2 linked regions of the Callithrix jacchus genome follow. The protein of the gene in region 1 interacts with the protein of each later gene in a biochemical or structural test. Links are inferred from orthologs where the notes say so. Each region holds a gene or a part of one and is shown in the gene's direction. Other genes may lie near its edges. The genes, in order: RNF4 and UBE2W.

Evidence for each region.
Region 2: the proteins of RNF4 (region 1) and UBE2W form a complex in vitro, tested with the Homo sapiens proteins (2 studies listed by BioGRID). The link is inferred for Callithrix jacchus from reciprocal best matches to the Homo sapiens genes RNF4 and UBE2W.

Annotation. Positions count from the first base shown.
Region 1 is NC_133504.1:190,653,834-190,657,643, reverse strand, and holds part of RNF4 (E3 ubiquitin-protein ligase RNF4), read left to right. Parts: intron 1-2,031; coding exon 2,032-2,146; intron 2,147-3,810. UniProt on the Homo sapiens protein: E3 ubiquitin-protein ligase which binds polysumoylated chains covalently attached to proteins and mediates 'Lys-6'-, 'Lys-11'-, 'Lys-48'- and 'Lys-63'-linked polyubiquitination of those substrates and their subsequent targeting to the proteasome for degradation.
Region 2 is NC_133517.1:29,573,102-29,577,011, reverse strand, and holds the start of UBE2W (ubiquitin-conjugating enzyme E2 W), read left to right. Parts: upstream 1-1,043; 5' UTR 1,044-1,045; coding exon 1,046-1,147; intron 1,148-3,910. UniProt on the Homo sapiens protein: Accepts ubiquitin from the E1 complex and catalyzes its covalent attachment to other proteins.

The DNA of each region.
Region 1 (3,810 bases):
GACCATTCCTGGCCCCCATTGTGCTCCAAGACCCACTTTTGATGTGATACACAAAAAAGTCTGCTTCTCTGACCTCCCTCCCACCTTGGTGCTTCACCTGCAGATCACCACATAGCTCACCTGTAGGGAAATGGATGTTCTAAGCCCTACCTCTGAAGCCCCATCTCTGCCTAGGCCAGATCAGAACAGGCAAAAGAACCTAGCCTTTTATAAGTGTGTGTGAAGAAATTGGTTAAAATTCCTGAAATTATGGTGTGGTTGTAGCTTGTGTGGTTGTGATTAGATGGTCAGTTTTCACTAGAAGCTACAGACCTGGAGGGCCCTGCTAGTTAAAAGGAGGACAGTCATGACCAGAATTATGGGAGGGCAAGAGGGGAGAGCTCTGCAAATATTCCTAGACTTACTGAGCCTGTCCTGAGTGGTCCAGGGAAGCTACTTGGGAGGAGGAGGCTCAGAGACAGTAGAGTGGGAGGGTTAAAGGTGTCTTCAGGAGGGAGGTGACATTTAAGTGGATTCTGGAAAGCTGTGCAAGAATTGGCCAAGTGAAGAAAGGGAGGGATGGGCACTCCAGGCAGGGAAGAGGCTCCGGTGAAAGGCCTGGAGGAGCAGACAGGAAAGAGGACTCCTGGGGTTAGGGAGGGGTGGGGGCATTTCTGTAATCAACCATGCAGGGAGATTTAGGGTCCAGGACCTATGGCTACCTTTTTGGCTCCCTCCATGGGGCCCAGAAACAACACAGGTAGCCGTGTAGGGCATGAAGATCTCCTTAGCAGTGTCTAGTAAGACAGACTTGGTCTGCTGCAAGGGAAGGAGGCTACAAGGCCGTTGTCAAAGAGAAGGGAGTAAATATGAAAGAGTCCTAAGTAACCTGGTGGCTGCTGGAGAAACCCTTAAAGCATTGGGCAGTAGAACTCCCCTGAGGTTAGTGTCAGCTCCCTTGAGACAACGAGCAGTTGCTCACTTGGCCTCTGGGCCCTCCTGGGGCTGGTTCTGTGTTCCTTAGTCCATGAGAAGTTGCTAGACCCAGCTTCATTTCCAAAATATCTCAAGCTGTCATTTGATAGAGTAGCATTGGAACACAAATAGAATTAGGCTTAGCCCTGTTGCCTAGCAAGGGCTTGGCTGTGTGGTGGGTGTTCCTGGGTCTTATATGAATCTCACCTTCAGTATCTGGTCCTTTCAGAGTTTCTTGGGTCAGAATGACCCCAGTAAGGCTAAGGAATTGGGGCATTAGTAGCATCTTCCATCTCTGCACAGTACTTTGCATAATGATCTCATTTAGTCCTTGTAACAGCTGTTCAAGGCTGGTACTGGTGAGGAACTTGAGACTTAGTAGTGCAGTACGTGTCCCAGGTGGTCAGGTGCGAGGCAGAGCAGGGCAGGGCAGAGGGGAGAAGAGCACGGAAACACAGTGCGAATAACAACTGACAGGCTCTGTTGGGAAGGTCTGTCTCCTGATGAAGGGAGAGGATGTTCTCAGCTCATCATCTGGGACCAGCCAGACCAGAAATGCTGGAGCATATTGGCAAACCAGCAGCCCTAAGGATGTGGAAGGAAGGCTGGTCAGTGTCATTTGCAGATCCACCACTTAAGAGTCTGAACCTTCTGGAAGACATGGCTCTTGGACAGCCACTGGGAACAGGCTTGAAACAGCTTTGGTTCTTTGTGGGAGATGATTGTCTGGTGTGAATCACATTTGATAAATCCTGAAAGGTTCAAGGCCACATTTCCCAAGGTAAGATCAGCTTTCCACAACGTATAGAAACTCAGAATACTTGAGGTTCTTTACTTTAAGAAACAAAAAGGGCTTAATATAACAGAAGTTTTACTTTCTAGAATTTCTGCTCATTGTATGTTTTGGATGGTTTTCTCTCTCTAAGCATTTAGTATTCTGGAAAGGAGCTCTAACTTCAAGTCTACTCACTGGCTTCTTAATGAGTTCAACTGTTTCTAGTGTTGCCCTTTTAGTTCTTCCTGAAACCCTGACATTCTGGTGGTCATGTGACTTATTCTTTCCTCCTTGCTACTCAGAGAAAGCGTCGTGGTGGAGCAATAAATTCTAGACAAGCCCAGAAGCGAACTCGGGAAGCAGCCTTTACCCCAGAGATTTCCTTGGAAGCAGAACCCATAGAACTCGTGGAAACTGGTAAGATTGCCAGGGGTGGCTGGGTGCAGTGGCTCAAGACTGTAATCCCAGCACTTTGGGAGGCCGAGGCGGGTCGATCACGAGGTCAAGAGATCGAGACCGTCCTGGTCAACATGGTGAAACCCCGTCTCTACTAAAAATACAAAAAATTAGCTGGGCATAGTGGCACGTGCCTGTAATCCCAGCTATTCAGGAGGCTGAGGCAGGAGAATTGCTTGAACCCAGGAGGCGGAGGTTGCGGTGAGCTGAGATCGCGCCATTGCACTCCAGCCTGGGTAACAAGCGAAACTACGTCTCAAAAAAAAATAAAGATTGCCAGGGCACTACAACTGTGGGTGTTAAAGTGTAGAGAGAACACTGCAGCAGGGTGAGCTATGAGAAGGTGTTTTAGTGTCTTTAAAAGGCTTATGCAGTCTCACACTCACCATTTACAACTCAAGGGCCCAGCTTTAAAAAAGAAAAATCGGCTGGGCTCGGTGGCTCATGCCTGTAATCCTAGCACTTTGGGAGGCCCAGGTGGGTGGATCACGGAGTCAAGAGATCGAGACCATCCTGGCCAACATGGTGAAACCTCGTCTCTACTAAAAATACGAAAATTAGCTGGGCATGGTGGCATGTGCCTGTAGTCCCAGCTACTTGGGAAGCTGAGGCAGGCGAATTGCTTGAACCGTGGAGGCGGAAGTTTCAGTGAGCTGAGGTTGCGCCATTGCACTCCAGCCTGGTGACGGAGAGAGACTCTGTCTCAAAAAAAAAAAGAAAAGGAAAAGGAAAAATCTCCAGTGCAAATGAGATGGCCCACCTTTTCTATTTAAAATTGCATCTTCCAATTCACTTGACCTTGTAAAGTACTTGACTTTCCTCTTCTGTTTTTCATTAAGACCTAAAATCACCCAAGAAGGTAAATCTGTCCACATAGCTTCCTGTGTTGGAACTTGGTGTGGGCAGAGATCAGATTGGATTTCTCCTTTCTTCCTGCTCAAGAAGTGGTTGTTGGCCAGCCTGAGTTAAGTCCCTTTGCCCTGCATATATTATTTTTATAACTAGGATGCCTGCAAGCTGGCATTTTAAAGAGAAACAATGTAGTGCAAAATGGGCCCCCCCCAAGAGTAGTGAAATTCTCTGTGGTCTCTGAGTTTCATGTCTACAAGTGAGTTCTTTAATGTTCTGACTTACTTCACTAGAGGCTAGGACCCTGTCTCTAAACCAGAAAGGAACCAGCTGCTTCCCAACGTGGCACTTGTTATCCTCAAGGCAGTCTTACCCCTGTGCAAGGGTGTGTGCCTAGGGCTGCCCATTAGAGCATTGTTTTTGTAAGAGCTCAGAGTTGTGTTCACCAGAAAGAGAACGGTTCAATAAATTATTGTATATCAGTATATGGACTGTTGGGCAGCCCTTCTTTTAGATAAAGAATGCAGTGATTTTTGTATAAATTAATATTGTACATCTAAGATTATCATGGTTTTTATTCTTGTGAGACTTTATGATACAAGAAAATAAAACACATTGGCCAGATTGCTTGAGCTCAGGAGTTCCACACCAGCCTGGACAACATAGCAAGACCCTGTCTCTACAAATAAAAAAACTAGCCAGATGTGGGAGGCTGAGGTGGGAGGATCACACGAGCCTGGAACATTGAAGCTGCAGTGAGCTGTGACCTTGCCACT
Region 2 (3,910 bases), on another chromosome or scaffold:
TGTGTCTGCCACGTTAAGTTTTAAAGATAGAGCATGAGGTGCAGGCTTTTGGCTTCCATTTTCCTCTCATAAACCAATGACATCTTCAGTTCCAGAATAGCTTTCTTCAAACGTGACTTCTGATAAATGTTGGCAGAACTGGTGCATTCCTAAAATAAATTATGTATGCTCAGCTTTCCCTACCCAAGTTAATCCCTAAATGACCATAAAACCACCACGAAATAGGCTTAAGAGAAGTCTGGACATAATGGTATAAGTGTATATTATAACATTTAAAAAAAATTAATGCCTGGGGTCAACTCGCTAATCAAATTTAGACTGCCCCAACAACGGTAACTATTGTTGATACATGTGAAGTTTAAAACTTCACATGTATCAACAATAGTTGGAGTAAGGGGCAGAAACTGCACACAGCTTAGAAACTTCCAAATTTTCTCTCCCTTTTCAGGCAAGTTTCAGCTCCACAAATCTAAATATCCTCGCCTTTAAAATATCAGTGTTGTTCTGCTCTTACATCCTCATCCCGTTGTACAAGGAAACCTATGTCTCTCTTCTCCAAATTAAGAATACTAGAAGCCGTCAGAGCGAGACTTCGTCTCAAAAAAAAATCCCCCAAGAAACCTTCCAAGTCTCCAAAGACCAGAAAGTAGCTGCGCGGGAAGTTTTATGGGGCCCCAAGGCTCTGAGAGTGGGCTTGGTAGTAGGGAAGGCACATCCCAAGGGAAAAATCTGTACCGCACAGCTGTGCTTGGAAAAACAAAACGAACAGAAAAAAGCTGCGCAGATCCGGACGTCATAAGGATTTCGCGGTACAGACGAAGAAAACAACCGTAGCCGAGTCAAAACTGGAGCCGTGTGTCCTCGATAAAGAGTAATCAGGAGCCAGACTCGGGACCTGCGAGTCCAACTGTGACCGAAGGTACTCACAGCGCCATTTACCGTCCCCTCGCACCGCCCCACGGTCCCTCCTCCCGTTCGCCTAGCGTGCCAGCCAATCCCCTCGCGCTATCCCCTTCCCTTTACAGATCCCGCCCCCGCGCCGGGGATGTTGAGCCCCCGCGGCGTGACGCGAGCACGGCAGCTCCGCCCCCTGCGTCTCTGGCCTCGCCGGCTGTGGGGGGATGGTTCCATCATGGCGTCAATGCAGGTGAGAGGAGTTTGCTGCATCTGGGCGGGCCAGGGAGCCGCCAAGAGGGTGCCAGCGTTCGGGCGGGGGCGGTGTCCGCGATTCGGGGACACCCGGGCGGGTTCGGGATCGGTCAGGGTAGTCTGTTTTCTCTCCGCTCAGGGCGTCGGGGGAGGGGTGAGAAGCGGCGAGAGGCGTCGGGTGGTGGGGTGGGGGGTGGTGCGGTATCCGTCGGTCGAAGGGGACACCAGCCGACTGGGAAGTTGGGTGATAAAGGAGGCTTGGGGGAGAAAGGGCGAAGTCTGGCGTTCCGGTCTCAAAATCCGCTCCGCGCGCGCGCGCGCACACACACACACACACACACACACACACCCGCTGCCAGTCTGCTCCCCGCCAGCCCCACGGTTGCCTTTCTCCCGCTGTCCCTGGCCCGACGGAAACAGCTGCGCCCGCGGTTGTAGCCCGGGCAGGGGCGGCGAGGGGCTGAGTGTGGTGGAGCCGAGAAGGCGTCTCGGGAGAGGGCGGCTAGCTGCAGACGGCGCTCAGCGGCCTCTGCTCCGGCCTCCCACGCCGGGCCTCTCTTCTTCCCTTGACTCTTAATTCTGTGCTCGTGGGTACCTTCTCTTTCCATCTGCACCGGCATTCTCACTGACATTCCTCCAGCAGTCCACTGTCTCCTTCCTCTCGAAGCTGCCCGAGTCCACCGCCTGATGGACAGTCTCCCGAGAGCCGAGTCCTCAGCCCCCTTAAACCTCTCGGGATAGTTCGCCCTCTATTTTGTTTTCCCCTACAATGCCCCACCCTTGCGGTCGAGGTAAAGCTACTTGTTGTTGCCCTTAACTACCCAGACCTTCAGTAGAATCTAAATGGGTAGGAGGCGTTTGTTAACCTGTGTCATTTCTACCCCACTTAGCAAGTGGGGTTTTCTGGTTTTCCAACTTAATTTACCCCTTTTCCCCGAAACCAGGGAGTTGTTTTAATTATTTTTGCAGGCAAAGATGGCAACCACAATTGTAGTTTTGTAGATATTGACTGTGTTATGTATACCCTGCATTTAATTCATTGATGAAGACGAGCAGTATCAAAGGACATAGGAAGAGAAAGTAGACCTCTAAATAGGAGTGTCAGCTGAATACCTTTTAGCATTTTATTAACATCCCCTTGGGTAAAGAGAGACCACGTTTTCTTAGAAGTGTTTTTTGCTTTTGTTTCTGGAAGAAGCAAGTCTCTGTTCCCCCTCCTTTTTTTTTTCTTTTCTCTGCTGAAAGTGTTTTTCTTCCCTTTTTTGCATCTTCTTCCTCTTTTGTATAAATATTTCTTTGCTTCACATTTACTCCTGTGCTTTTATGTTATTCCCCTTTCAACCTGTTTTCCTTACAGTATTCTTTTTACCTTTGCTTCTCCCTCTGGACTTGCCTGCAGAACATAAAAGTTTTATATAACATTTCTAGTTGAAGAGATGTCACGAATGGTGCAGGGAAAAAACAAGAACAATTTCAGGAAACGTTATACTTTACACTAGTTTCCCCAGAGACGTTAGAGAAGTTTCGTCATTTGAGGCTGAAAAAGGAACTGTGGAATCCTAGTTGAACAGTAGACGCAATAGGCTACAGGACCACTTAAAGATTTTATGTGTTAAGATGAAAACATTTTTTATGAGCTTAAGATTATCGGTATTAAGATTAAAACGTAATTTGAGGCTAAAGATTAACATTAAAATCCACAATACTTATGATAATATTTGACAAGAGAACTTAGTGTGTTATCTGGTTAGATTGAGTGTCTGGTAAAGACAGATTTGTTTATGAGAGAAGTTGGTAATCTTGAACTTTACATAGTGTCCTAAGCAATGGAAACAAATACTTGATTGATAGTGCAATAGTGCGTTTTCCTGTGCCCTAAGTGTTACTACCTTAGACTGTCTTATCACTTTGGTTTTTGCTTTTGAGACAGAGTCTTGCTCTGTCGCCAGGCGCCAGGGTGGAGTGCAGTGGCACGGTCTCGGCTCACTGCAACGTCTGCCTCCCGGTTTTAAGCAAGCCTCAGCCTCCCGAGTAGCTGGGACTACAGGAGCACGCCACCACGCCCAGCTAATTTTTGTATTTTTTTAGTAGAGACGGGGTTTCACCATGTTGGCCAGGATGGTCTCTATCTCTTGACCTCCTGATCCGCCTGCCTTGGCCTCTTAAAGTGCTGGGAATACAGGCGTGAGCCACCGCGCCTGGCCTTTATTTATTTATTTATTTTTAAGACGGACTCATCCTCTCTAACCCAGGCTGTAGTGCAGTGGCACGATCTCGGCTCAACGGCGTTCTCCGCAGCCCGGGTTCAAGCGATTCCCCTGCCTCAGCCTCTTGAGTAGCTGGGACTACAGGCACACGCCACCATACCTGGCAAATGTTTTTGTATTTTTAGTAGTGATGGGGTTTCACCATGTTGGCCAGGATGGTCTCCATCTCCTAACCTCGTGATCGCCCGCCTCGCTCTCCCAAAGTGCTGGGATTACAGGTGTGAGCCACTGTCCCCCGGCTGTTTTATCACTTTTTAAAGTTTTTCCCGTCACGTATTCTGTCTAAATCTTATCACTCTCTAGTCTATGTTTTCTGGTTAGAGGAATGGAAAACAGATGCTTCCTGTTTTTATTAAAATAAAAAATCTTTCCTTTTTATTTGTATTTTAAAATGTCTAGTGTAGATTTTCTGGTAGTGTCTTTTTTTTTTCTTGCTCTGTAGCCCAGGCTGGAGTGCAGTGGTGCAATCTCTGCTCACTGCAACCTCCGCCTCA